2 linked regions of the Caenorhabditis elegans genome follow. The protein of the gene in region 2 purifies or fractionates together with the protein of the main gene of each other region. This does not show direct contact. Each region holds a gene or a part of one and is shown on either strand. Other genes may lie near its edges. The genes, in order: F32D8.2 and taf-7.2.

Evidence for each region.
Region 1: the proteins of taf-7.2 (region 2) and F32D8.2 purify together in Caenorhabditis elegans (affinity purification with mass spectrometry, with the first as the bait; one large-scale study listed by BioGRID). This does not show direct contact.

What each region holds. Positions count from the first base shown.
Region 1 is NC_003283.11:10,881,842-10,886,819, reverse strand, and holds F32D8.2 (ATPase_AAA_core domain-containing protein), read right to left. Parts: upstream 3,043-4,978; coding exon 2,865-3,042; intron 2,821-2,864; coding exon 2,709-2,820; intron 2,661-2,708; coding exon 2,556-2,660; intron 2,498-2,555; coding exon 2,452-2,497; intron 2,409-2,451; coding exon 2,295-2,408; intron 2,250-2,294; coding exon 2,118-2,249; intron 2,071-2,117; coding exon 1,855-2,070; intron 1,810-1,854; coding exon 1,679-1,809; intron 1,636-1,678; coding exon 1,555-1,635; intron 1,510-1,554; coding exon 1,399-1,509; intron 1,356-1,398; coding exon 1,205-1,355; intron 1,154-1,204; coding exon 1,005-1,153; intron 955-1,004; coding exon 891-954; intron 835-890; coding exon 718-834; downstream 1-717. Other genes in the region: cat-6 (Protein kinase domain-containing protein), read right to left, coding at 3,509-3,630, 3,696-4,125, 4,202-4,351, 4,403-4,543.
Region 2 is NC_003281.10:12,669,875-12,675,144, forward strand, and holds taf-7.2 (TAFII55 protein conserved region domain-containing protein), read right to left. Parts: upstream 3,550-5,270; 5' UTR 3,542-3,549; coding exon 3,494-3,541; intron 2,327-3,493; coding exon 1,664-2,326; 3' UTR 815-1,663; downstream 1-814. Other genes in the region: elpc-2 (Elongator complex protein 2), read left to right, coding at 3,810-3,938, 3,987-4,244, 4,954-5,215.

The sequences.
Region 1 (4,978 bases), on a different chromosome or scaffold from region 2:
AATCTAGAGGAACGGCCTTCAAACATTCAAACATGGCTTCACTCTACAGAAGTAGCCACTGTTTCAGTCCGTCTTTAATAGTCTCGAGGAAATTCAGATCTCGAAAAATAGTACAGTAAGGTGAGACCTGCATCTAGATATTATTACAAGGTTTTGTATGTCTCAGTAGACAAAAAAAAGAGAGAAGAAACAGTGAAACAATGTTCAGAGACGCAGACGGAAGCCGTTTGTGGAACCGAACTGAAGAAGAAAGTGAGTGAAAAACGTGACGAACGAGACGGGCTGGGGATTCGGACAAAAGGTGGTCATCTGTACAGAACTAATTGATATGGAAACAATCACAGAACACAGAGGAACATGGTGATGTAATGGAATTTGATAAGGATTGAGGGGAAAAGCTGATGAAAAGGGCGTAAAATCGAATAAAAAGGAGAATGGAAAGCGAGGGAAAAACTAGGAAGGACGAAAGAAATGAGGTGAAACGGGGGATGAAAATTCGTTGTTTATGTGGGTCAGTTTTGGAAAAAAAACAATATGCTTAAAATCAATTTCATATATAATTTGAAAAATAATAAGAACAAACTATATAGTGAGATATGTGACATTCTGAAATTTGGAATCTCGTATTAATCTTTGCCAGTGCCTGTGAGATTGTTGTTTTACAAATCACACATGCTGAAAACAGATTAATAAATAAACAATTTCCACCGGAAATCCCTACCTTGCAATACCAATGTTAACTTCATAACCGACAACAACCCTTGCTGTATCGAAACTATTAAATGAAGCAAACTCCGGTTTGAAGGTGAACATCTTTTTCAGCAAAAGGGTTTTCTGGAAAAAAAAACAAATTAGTTGCAACAAAAAAAGATAAAATTAATTGAACTTACCTTACCCCTTGAACTGATAATATTCACAAATCCGGTCAATTCTACGCCACGTACTTCCTTACTTCTGAACAACAGTTTATCTAATTGTAGAGAAATACAAATAAAATAACGCACGTTCCAATTGAGTATTCATAAAAAATTTTATAATCTTCAAGTTCAAACGAACGAACACATTTGTGTGTTTTCACTTCTTGTGTAAATCTTGTTCGCAATGTTTGAAGGAAGTTTTTTTCGCCTTTTTCAGGATACCCAGAGGATGTACTCTAAACATTGAAAGTATAATTATATTTTTCTCCGACTTTCAAAGAAATTACCATATTCATGCATAAACATATATTTTCTGATATTCCTTCAGACGTACAGTTCCTTGATGTTGGTTGAGCTATGAAGACAGATTTTGAAGATTTTTCTTTCGGATTGATTAATTCAACAAGCATTTGATTGAAATTAGTAGAAGACAATAACCTAAACTCAGATATTCTTTTTAAATATAATTTTTAGACCTAACCTGTTGAAATTCATATTCATGAAATATAGTTTCTGATTATTATTTTCTATGAATTGGTTGGATGGACGAAAAGCAAACATTGGATATTTGTCGTTTTCGTTTTCAATATCTCTGCAAATTGTTCAAATTAACATGTAATGTAAATAAGAATCTCACTTTGTTGATAAGTCGTACGAAGTGATGATTAGTGTAGTGTTCTCGAAAATGTTTGATTCCTTTAATAGATCCAACATTTTTCTGAAAAAAGGTCCGTTTTTTTCCTCAAAAACTTTTATAATACTTCAAATCTTGATCAATTGATTGTCTACGATATTCATCATATTCATCAATAAACATTGCTGAAAACACCTTGGAATCTGCTGTTGATGTCAGAAATGCTCCGATTTTTTCCAATTGATCATTTACTAATTTCTAGAAAAATTGTGATATAAACTTTTTTTGAAATATAAAACTTACTTTTCCATTTTTCAAACATAAGTTTCCATCAATTAAGAATTGTGTTATGAAATTCTGATGATCCAAAGTATCATAATCTACATCAATCATATATCTGATTTGTTGTGGACCAGAGAAAAAAGTTGTAAAATTATTTTGCTTTGCTTTTCTGAACATATTAATTTTATTTGAAATTCCAAGTTGTAGTAACAAATCTTGCATTGAATTTGGTTCATTCTGAATATTAGCGATATTGATAATTACAAAATCGAGTAACATCTTACTTTGCTCATAAATTGTGCAAATCTGAACTGGTTGTCTTGCATGAAATGCTTACTCAACGGCATTTTCTTCATAAATAGTTTGTGATTTATTGCTGGAAGAAATATTATGGCAATTGATCCCCCGTTTGATTTCTAAAATGGTGTTGAATTTTAGATTCTATTGTTAACTCATCTTACTTTTGGAATTGATGCAAAATTCACAAAGGGTTTCAGAAATTCAACAATACCGTTTCTTTCGCAAGCAAAAGCAAAATTGTAGAATGGAACTTTAACGGGCACATTTTTTTCAACCTGATGTTTATGATTATTAAAGATTTAATTTTAACTTTCATACCTTAATTGGGTGCTCATTTGGCCCACTATTTTTGTAAAAGGTGCATCTGAAGTTATATGTTGAGTTATTGACTTATTGAAGACAAAAAATTAAATAGTTCAAACCTTATATCAGAGGGTAAATCATTTGTATTTTTTGATCGAAGTGTCAAATATCCGTCAGATGATAAGTCAACCTTTTCATTCAGTTCATTTATTTTGCATTCGCCTCTTGAAATGTTATTCATTGGATTTTCTGCATAATTCAATTTTCCTCACCTCACAATATGTTGTTTCGATTTGTCCGGTGTAAGTCCAAAAACGTCCTCATCTTCATTCGGAAAGAAAATATATGGAAGTTTACAAACATTGGTCAGTAATTCTCTGGTTTCTGAAAATCAGACTGCAGGAAAATTAATCAAAAACATCACATACCTACCAAGGAATAAACAAACTCTGGTTTATACTTGATTCCACCATCCTTATCAAATTCTTTAATCTCGATTGAAAAATGACTCATTATCACCGAAAATATTAAAAGAAAAAAGCAAAGAAACATTAAAATCATGCTACTTGGAAGAATACTTTGGTGTTTTCTTAGATTGAACGACATTGTTAAATGGCTTTTGTGGTGTGAATGAACAAATGAATGTACATAAGAGACGGGGATGCTTAATGCCGGAACCAGTTCATGTAACAAATGAATACCAGATATGGTCAGTTGATTATATGTTACAACTTGGTATTTATAAAGAGGAAAGTTGTTAAAAATATATAATTTTGACGTGAAAAGTGCATCGAAACTGTCTTTTGGATAACCATCAGTCACGGGCTTTCACCATCTTTCATCGGAAATAGTTCAATCTTTCAGCCGCTCACACTGCGAAAAAAGTAGAAATTGTTTGCGTTTATCAATTTTAATATACTTTTATGTATCTGTTTTTTAATAGGAGCACGTTTTTTTATCTTGAAGAGATTTTGAAAACTTATAAATTTAACTGTACATTTTATTTATTCAAATCAATATGCAAGAAAAGGAAAGACATTGGCACCGGGCAATACTTATAAATTTTCTTCATTCATTCATCATCAATATTTTCCATGGTGTATGGAGCAATCCATGGATGAGCCATTATTTGGGATGCAAGTGGTCGGCGTTCTTCAGTTTTATTCATCAAGCGAGATACCAAATCTTTAGCCTCTGAAAATTTGCTCCTTTTTCTATGAATAATTTTTTTTCTAGAGATTCAGTTTCAGTCAACTCACTCAATGAAATTCCTTTCCATTCTGGCATATCCAGATTTGGTTTAGCTTGCATTATAAGTTTGAATAATCTGGTTTGATCTGGTGCACGGAATGGAGCATATCCAACAAGCATAACATAAAGAACAACTCCAAGGGACCAAATATCACATCTTGTCGAATATCCGGTCTCCCGAAGAACTTCTGGTGCGCAATAGGTTGGGGTTCCACAGATACGGTACAGAGGTCCAAGAATGTGACATGCCAATCCAAAATCGCAAAGCTTCACACTAAATTTGTCAACGAGAAGAAGATTTTCAGGTTTGACATCTCTGTGAACCACATTTCTTTCGTGAAGATAATTGAGTGCAGATGCAACTTGGAGAGTTATGATAGCAGCATCTGGTTCCTCGATTCGACCATTTTTACGGATAGTTTCATATAAGTCCCCGTACTGAAAAAATCTTTTTTTTTCAAACTGTGTTGTCAAGTTTTGCACGTTATTGTTCAAAACTGGGAGTATCATTCACCTGTGCATGTTCGAAAACTATGAAGTATTGATTTTCAGTGCTAAAAGCATCGATAATCGATATGATGTGATCATGTTGAATGAGTGACAACATCTCCACCTCATTGTCCACAAAAAAGCATTTCCCTCGCATTGCTCTTTTCTCAACTTGCTGAAAAAACTTTGAAGGAAATGAAAATTGCAATGTTGACTGGTACCGAACCTTAAGCGCACATTTGGTGCCATCTTCCTTGCGTCGAGTTAAATGCACACTCGAGAAATTTCCTTTGCCAATAATAGCCCCAATCTCGTATTGCTTTTCAATGTCTTGACGCCCGTCAACACGTTGGATCCATTTGGAAACCTAAATAAAGAAATGAAAGTTGAATGAAGAAAGTGAGACGCTGAAAGATTCCATTAGTGACATGATCTGTTGCCTAACTATCCGGAATGTAGTATTTCCCTCATCCCAATTTCTTATGCATATTCTAACCTAAACCCAGAAGCGGTTTGTCCCTTGAACATACTACAAGTTATTGTTATGACGGATGTGCCGAGAAGGAAAATGGAACAAGGCCTTTGCGTTCAAAAAACATTTTCCAGAAGTGTTCGTTTGCTAAAAGTAAAATATTTGTTAAATAGGTCGCTAAAGTCAATGAGGTGGAACATTTCTTTCGTAGATCTTTGGCAGTAATTGCAGAAAGTAGACATGTTTTATTTGGGTATTACGTAAATTTTGAACTTTTAAAAACTTTTGACACAACGTATCAACAAAAGATCGGGACAGACAAGCATGCTT
Region 2 (5,270 bases):
ACCCCCTCTTGAAAATTTGCCGTGGCGAGACCCCGTTTCTGAGGGGAAAATATAAAAATTAGATTTTCAATTTTTCAGCAGTAATCCGAGTAATTGTTAGTAGTTTTGTTAGTAAATTTTTCAATTTTATCAAATGAAAACCTGAGAAATTGCAAAAAAAAAACACACACAAATATATTTAAATTTATATTTTTAGATTTTTCTGAAGATAATAAAAAATCTATATTTTTCCAAATTTTGTTATCAAATTTGATGAGAAAAAAACATAAGAAAACGCGCATCGTATTTGACGCGCAAAATATCTCGTAGCGAAAACAGTGACTACTGTATTGCTAGTGTCGATTTACGGGCTACAGTAGTCCTATTTAAAGGATTACTGTAGTTGTCGCTACGAGATATTTTGCGCGTCAAATATATTTCGTAATACGCATTCTCGGAATTTTGTGATCCCGTAATAGAATTGTCTTTTAAAAAGAAGGAAAAAAAACCACAATTTCGTCTCAGCTCGATCTACGAAAAATGCGGGAATTTTTTATACAGAAAATTGTGAAGTCTGCGTCGAAATTCCCGCGACTTTCGGAGATCAAACCGATATGCGACATTCTGACACCACGTGACGCATTTCTTATGAAAAAATCGTAAATTTTTGCGCTTAAAAATAATTTCTCTGGTTTTTTTAAAAACAACTATACAGAAAATGGACGTGCACTTTGTAAGGGAGCTTTGCCATTTAGGTGAGAAGCAGGATATCATTTAAAATGAATTGGATGAGCAGAAACCAACTAGGCGTCGACTTTCAAAGAAGAAATGAGAAAAAGTATAGTTTTCGAAAAAAACGATAACTTTTTAGAGATTGTAGAAACCCAACAATGCATGAAATTGTTGTTTCTTTTTCTTTTTGTTTGTCTTGTTCAATAAATAAATAAAAAAATTACGGGAGCACAAAATTCAGAGAATGCGTATTGCACAACATATTTGACGCGCAAAATATAACTATATCTCGCAGCGAAAACGATTTACAGCGAAGTTCCATTTTCATTCGTTTTTCAGTATTATTTTTTTTCCATTTTTTGTTCAATTTTAATATTCTATATATCGATGAATAAATGTTTTTTTTTCGTTCTAAAAAAATTGGAAAATTGAAAAAAATTATTTTCCGAAAAAAGTGGCAAATATTTGTTCTAAATATTCAAAAAAAGATTTTTCTATTTTACAAAAAAAAATTTCAAATATTTAATGATTTTTTCTGGGTATTTTTTTTCAGAATTTTAAGAAAAGTCATTTCAAAGTCATTTTCTTAAAAATTTGAAAAAAAAATACCCAGAAAAAATCATTAAATATTTGAAATTTATTTTTTGTAAAATAGAAAAATCTTTTTTTGAATATTTAGAACAAATATTTGCCACTTTTTTCAGAAACTTTTTTTTTTTTTCAATTTTCCAATTTTTTTAGAACGAAAAAAAAAAATTTATTCATCGATATATAGAATATTAAAATTAAACAAAAAATGGCAAAAAAAATAATGGAACTTTGCTGTAAATCGTTTTCGCTGCGAGATATAGTTATATTTTGCGCGCGTCAAATATGTTGTGCAGTACGCATTCTCAGAATTTTGTGTTGCCGTAATAAAAAACAGCGAAATAAAATTATCATCTTAAGAAATTTAATCATCCTTATCATCATCATCTCCAACATCAGATTCATCTTCACTACTTGATGGATAAGTGACATGCCGCTGCGTCCTTACTTCATCCGTCGCACCTTCCTTATTCCCTTCCACAATTTCCCATTTCACACTATCCGCTTCCAAATCTGCACGGAGCAGTCTCTTGAGCTCCTTCTCAACCTCTGGAGCATCCATAAACTTTTTCTTCTTAGTCTTTCGAAATCGCTTCTTCCTCGCCGATTTCATGGGAGGCGTCAGTCCGTGCGGGTATTGCCATTGTTTTGCCTTTGCCGCTGCTGCTTTCTGAGCAGCATCTTCAGAGCTTGAAGCTATTGAATTGATGGAATCATGGGTGCAGACAAGGATCTGTGAGACATCTGCGACTTTATACAGGCTTTTGTTGTCTAATGTCTTGTGGATTTCTGTTATAGTGGGAAGATCCAGGATTTTTCCATTTAACAGTTGATTTCCGATTCTGACTGTGGAATTTCGAGCGTCTGAATTCAAATTTAACGAGAATTCCTCGTGTTTTCCGTCCGATTGAATGATTTTCTCGATTCTACCCACACAATCTTCAGGTACACGTAGTACAATGTGACTTTCGAAGTCTGGTGGATCGTCGGAAGATGCTACTGGTGTGTCGTCGAAGAATGATTGTGGCTGAAAAATTTCTATTTTTTTGGAAAAAAAACACATTTTTTTGCCCTAAAGGTGGAGTAGCGCCAGTGGGGAAATTACTTTAAAACATGCCTGTGGTACCACAATGACCAAATATCATGATAAAAAAATTCAAAAAATTTTTCTAAATTTTATATGATTTTTTGAAAATTGAAAAAATCTCAGTTTTTGCCTAATTCCTATTTGAATTACCGCCAATTGGATTTGTTCGATGGAGCGCAATTGCACGTTTTTAAATTTATTTATTTTATTTTTTTGTTATTTTCCACCGATTTTTAATTTTTTTTGTTTTCAGTGTATTTTTGCTTGAATTTTAGAGAAAAAGTCAAAATAAATGCAAATTTTCGATTAAAAAGCTCGCTTACAGGCGTAAAAATGAAAAAGTAACGCTTTCAACGATTTCGAGCCTGAATTAATTAATTTCACTGATTTACGTCTGTCAGCGTGCTTTTTAATCGAAAATTTGCATTTATTTTGACTTTTTCTCTAAAATTCGAGCAAAAATACACCGAAAACATTAAAAATCGGTGGAAAATAACAAAAAACAAAAAAAATACATTTAAATACGTGCAAGCACGCTCCAACGAACGAGTTCAATTGGCGGAAATTTAAAAATAATTAGGTGAAAACTGTTTTTTTTCAATTTTCAAAAAAGGATATAAAATTAGAAATTTTTTTTGAATTTTTTTACTATGATATTCGGTCATTGTGGTATAATAGGCATGTTTTAAAGCAATTTCCCTACTGGCGGTACTCCATTTTTAAATGATAGAAAATAGACCCTAATGACCGAAAATTTTTTTTTTATATTCCGAAATTTTTTACGATTTTTTCTCGATTTTCAAAATATTTTTTCATCAACGTTTCTCCGTTGTTCTGTCAATTTTTCCGAATTTTTCCGGTTCAAAATTGGCTTAAAATCGATAATTTCGTATAAATGCACATTTTTTTGCGAAAAAAAACCTGAAAAATTGTCAAACGGTGTTTTAGGTAATTTAAAGCAAAAAAAAAATGTTTTTCGCCTTTAAAATGTGTTTTTTCACGGGAAAAATATGAATTTTTAGATCGAAAAAAATATGCATTATTTGTAAACTTTACAAAAAAGTAACTTTTTTGTTAAAAAAGCTGAAAAACGGTGTAATTGCTCACTTTCGGTCCTCTCTTCATCGGCGGCCGCACTCCCGGATAAATTGACATTGTGAACTGCAATTTTTACAATTTTTATGAAAATTTTTAGATTTTTTCCTTAAAAATGCAAAGAAAAACATAAAAAATCGGGAAGAAAAACTGAAAATTAAAAAAAAAGAATTGTTTGTCCTGTTTGTCCTAGAGGAGTACACGGCGTGGTGGCCGAGACCCCGACTCGGCCAGGCAAGTTTTTTTTTTTTTTTTTTTTTTCAGCAATTTTAAACGTTTTTTTTTGAGTTTTTTCACGAGATTTTCACCATTTTTTTCCAGAAAATCAATGAAAATCGAAGAAGAATTTATCTCTGCTAGTGTAAACCCACGGTCGCACTGCCTGACCGCCTGCAAAACCGCCCCACTTGTCGCCTATGCCTCGTCACTTCAAATCGCAGTTCAAACAATTCCAAAAGTGAAAATCGAGATGAATTTTATCATTTAAACTTCAAATAAATTACAGGATGACTCAGAAGTCGGTGTTATCAAGAGCACCTCGGAGCGTCGTCATCAAAAACCGATCACCGTGCTGAAAAGACTAAAATCTTCGGAAATCGTCGCCGATGAATTTGTCACTGGCGGTGTGGATTCTCGTGTAGTTTTATGGAAACTACGTGGAGAACACGTGGAATACGTCGCAGATCTGACAGGTTGCGATGGAAGTGTCGGAAGTGTGTGCGGATGTGTTGAAGATGGACGGAAAGTTGTAGCCGCTGCTTGGGTTCGTTTCAGAATTGCAAAAAAAGCAGCGGCGTCGCATCTCCATTCGGCTTGGTTTTTCATGATTTTTTGTAGATTTGAAGAAAAAAAACAACAAAAAAAACAGAGAAAACACAAAATTGTCTTTAAAAATGACAAAAATGGCCAAATCCCAAGTGTTTTATTTCGAAAAAAATAAAAATCCAAGCTCAAAAAAATCAGGAAAAAGCGTGCCACAGAGTTGCAAAATTGCGCTCCGCCTCTTTTTCTGTGCGGCGCTGTTTTTTTTGCAATTAAAAATCGATTTTTTTGAAAATATCGAAAAATTGAAGAAAAAAAAAATTTTCTTCCAAAAAATAACAAAAATGGCCGAAATTTGAGTTTTTCTTTCGAAAAATCAAAAATTTTCAGCCGAAAAAAAACCACAAAAAATCAGGAAAAACCGTGCCGCAGGGTTGCTAGGCTCCGCCTCTTTTTCTGTGCGGCCCTGCGTTTTGCAATTAAAAATCTAGTTTTTTGAATTAAAATCATAATTTTTTTTTTTAAATTTTCAACTTTAAAAAATTCAAAAAAAAAGAGAAAAATCGAAATTTTATCGAAAAAAATTCACAAAAATCAAGAAAAACCGTGCCGCAAGGTTGCAAAATTAGGCTCCGCCTCTTTTTCTGTGCGATGCAATTTTTGCAATTTTATATTCAATTCTATATCTAAAATTTATTTTTTTTTTTCAGGTATCCGAGACGTCAAACGGCTTTCACGCATGGTGGACATCTTCAATTGGAGATCTTCTAAATTCCACTGAAATTAAATTGGATCACAAAGCATTTGCGCTCTGCCTAGACGCTATTTCCATTCAAAATTCTGTACTCTTAGCAGTCGGAACTTCAAAACGATTTGTAGAGTTATATGGAGAATCGGCAGACAAAAAATCGTTTTCTCGGCTGATTTCTGTCGCTGGACACACTGATTGGATTCATTCGATTGCTTTTAATGGTTAATTTTGCATTAAAAAATATGAGAAATTGGCGGAATTTCAGAGAAAAAATCA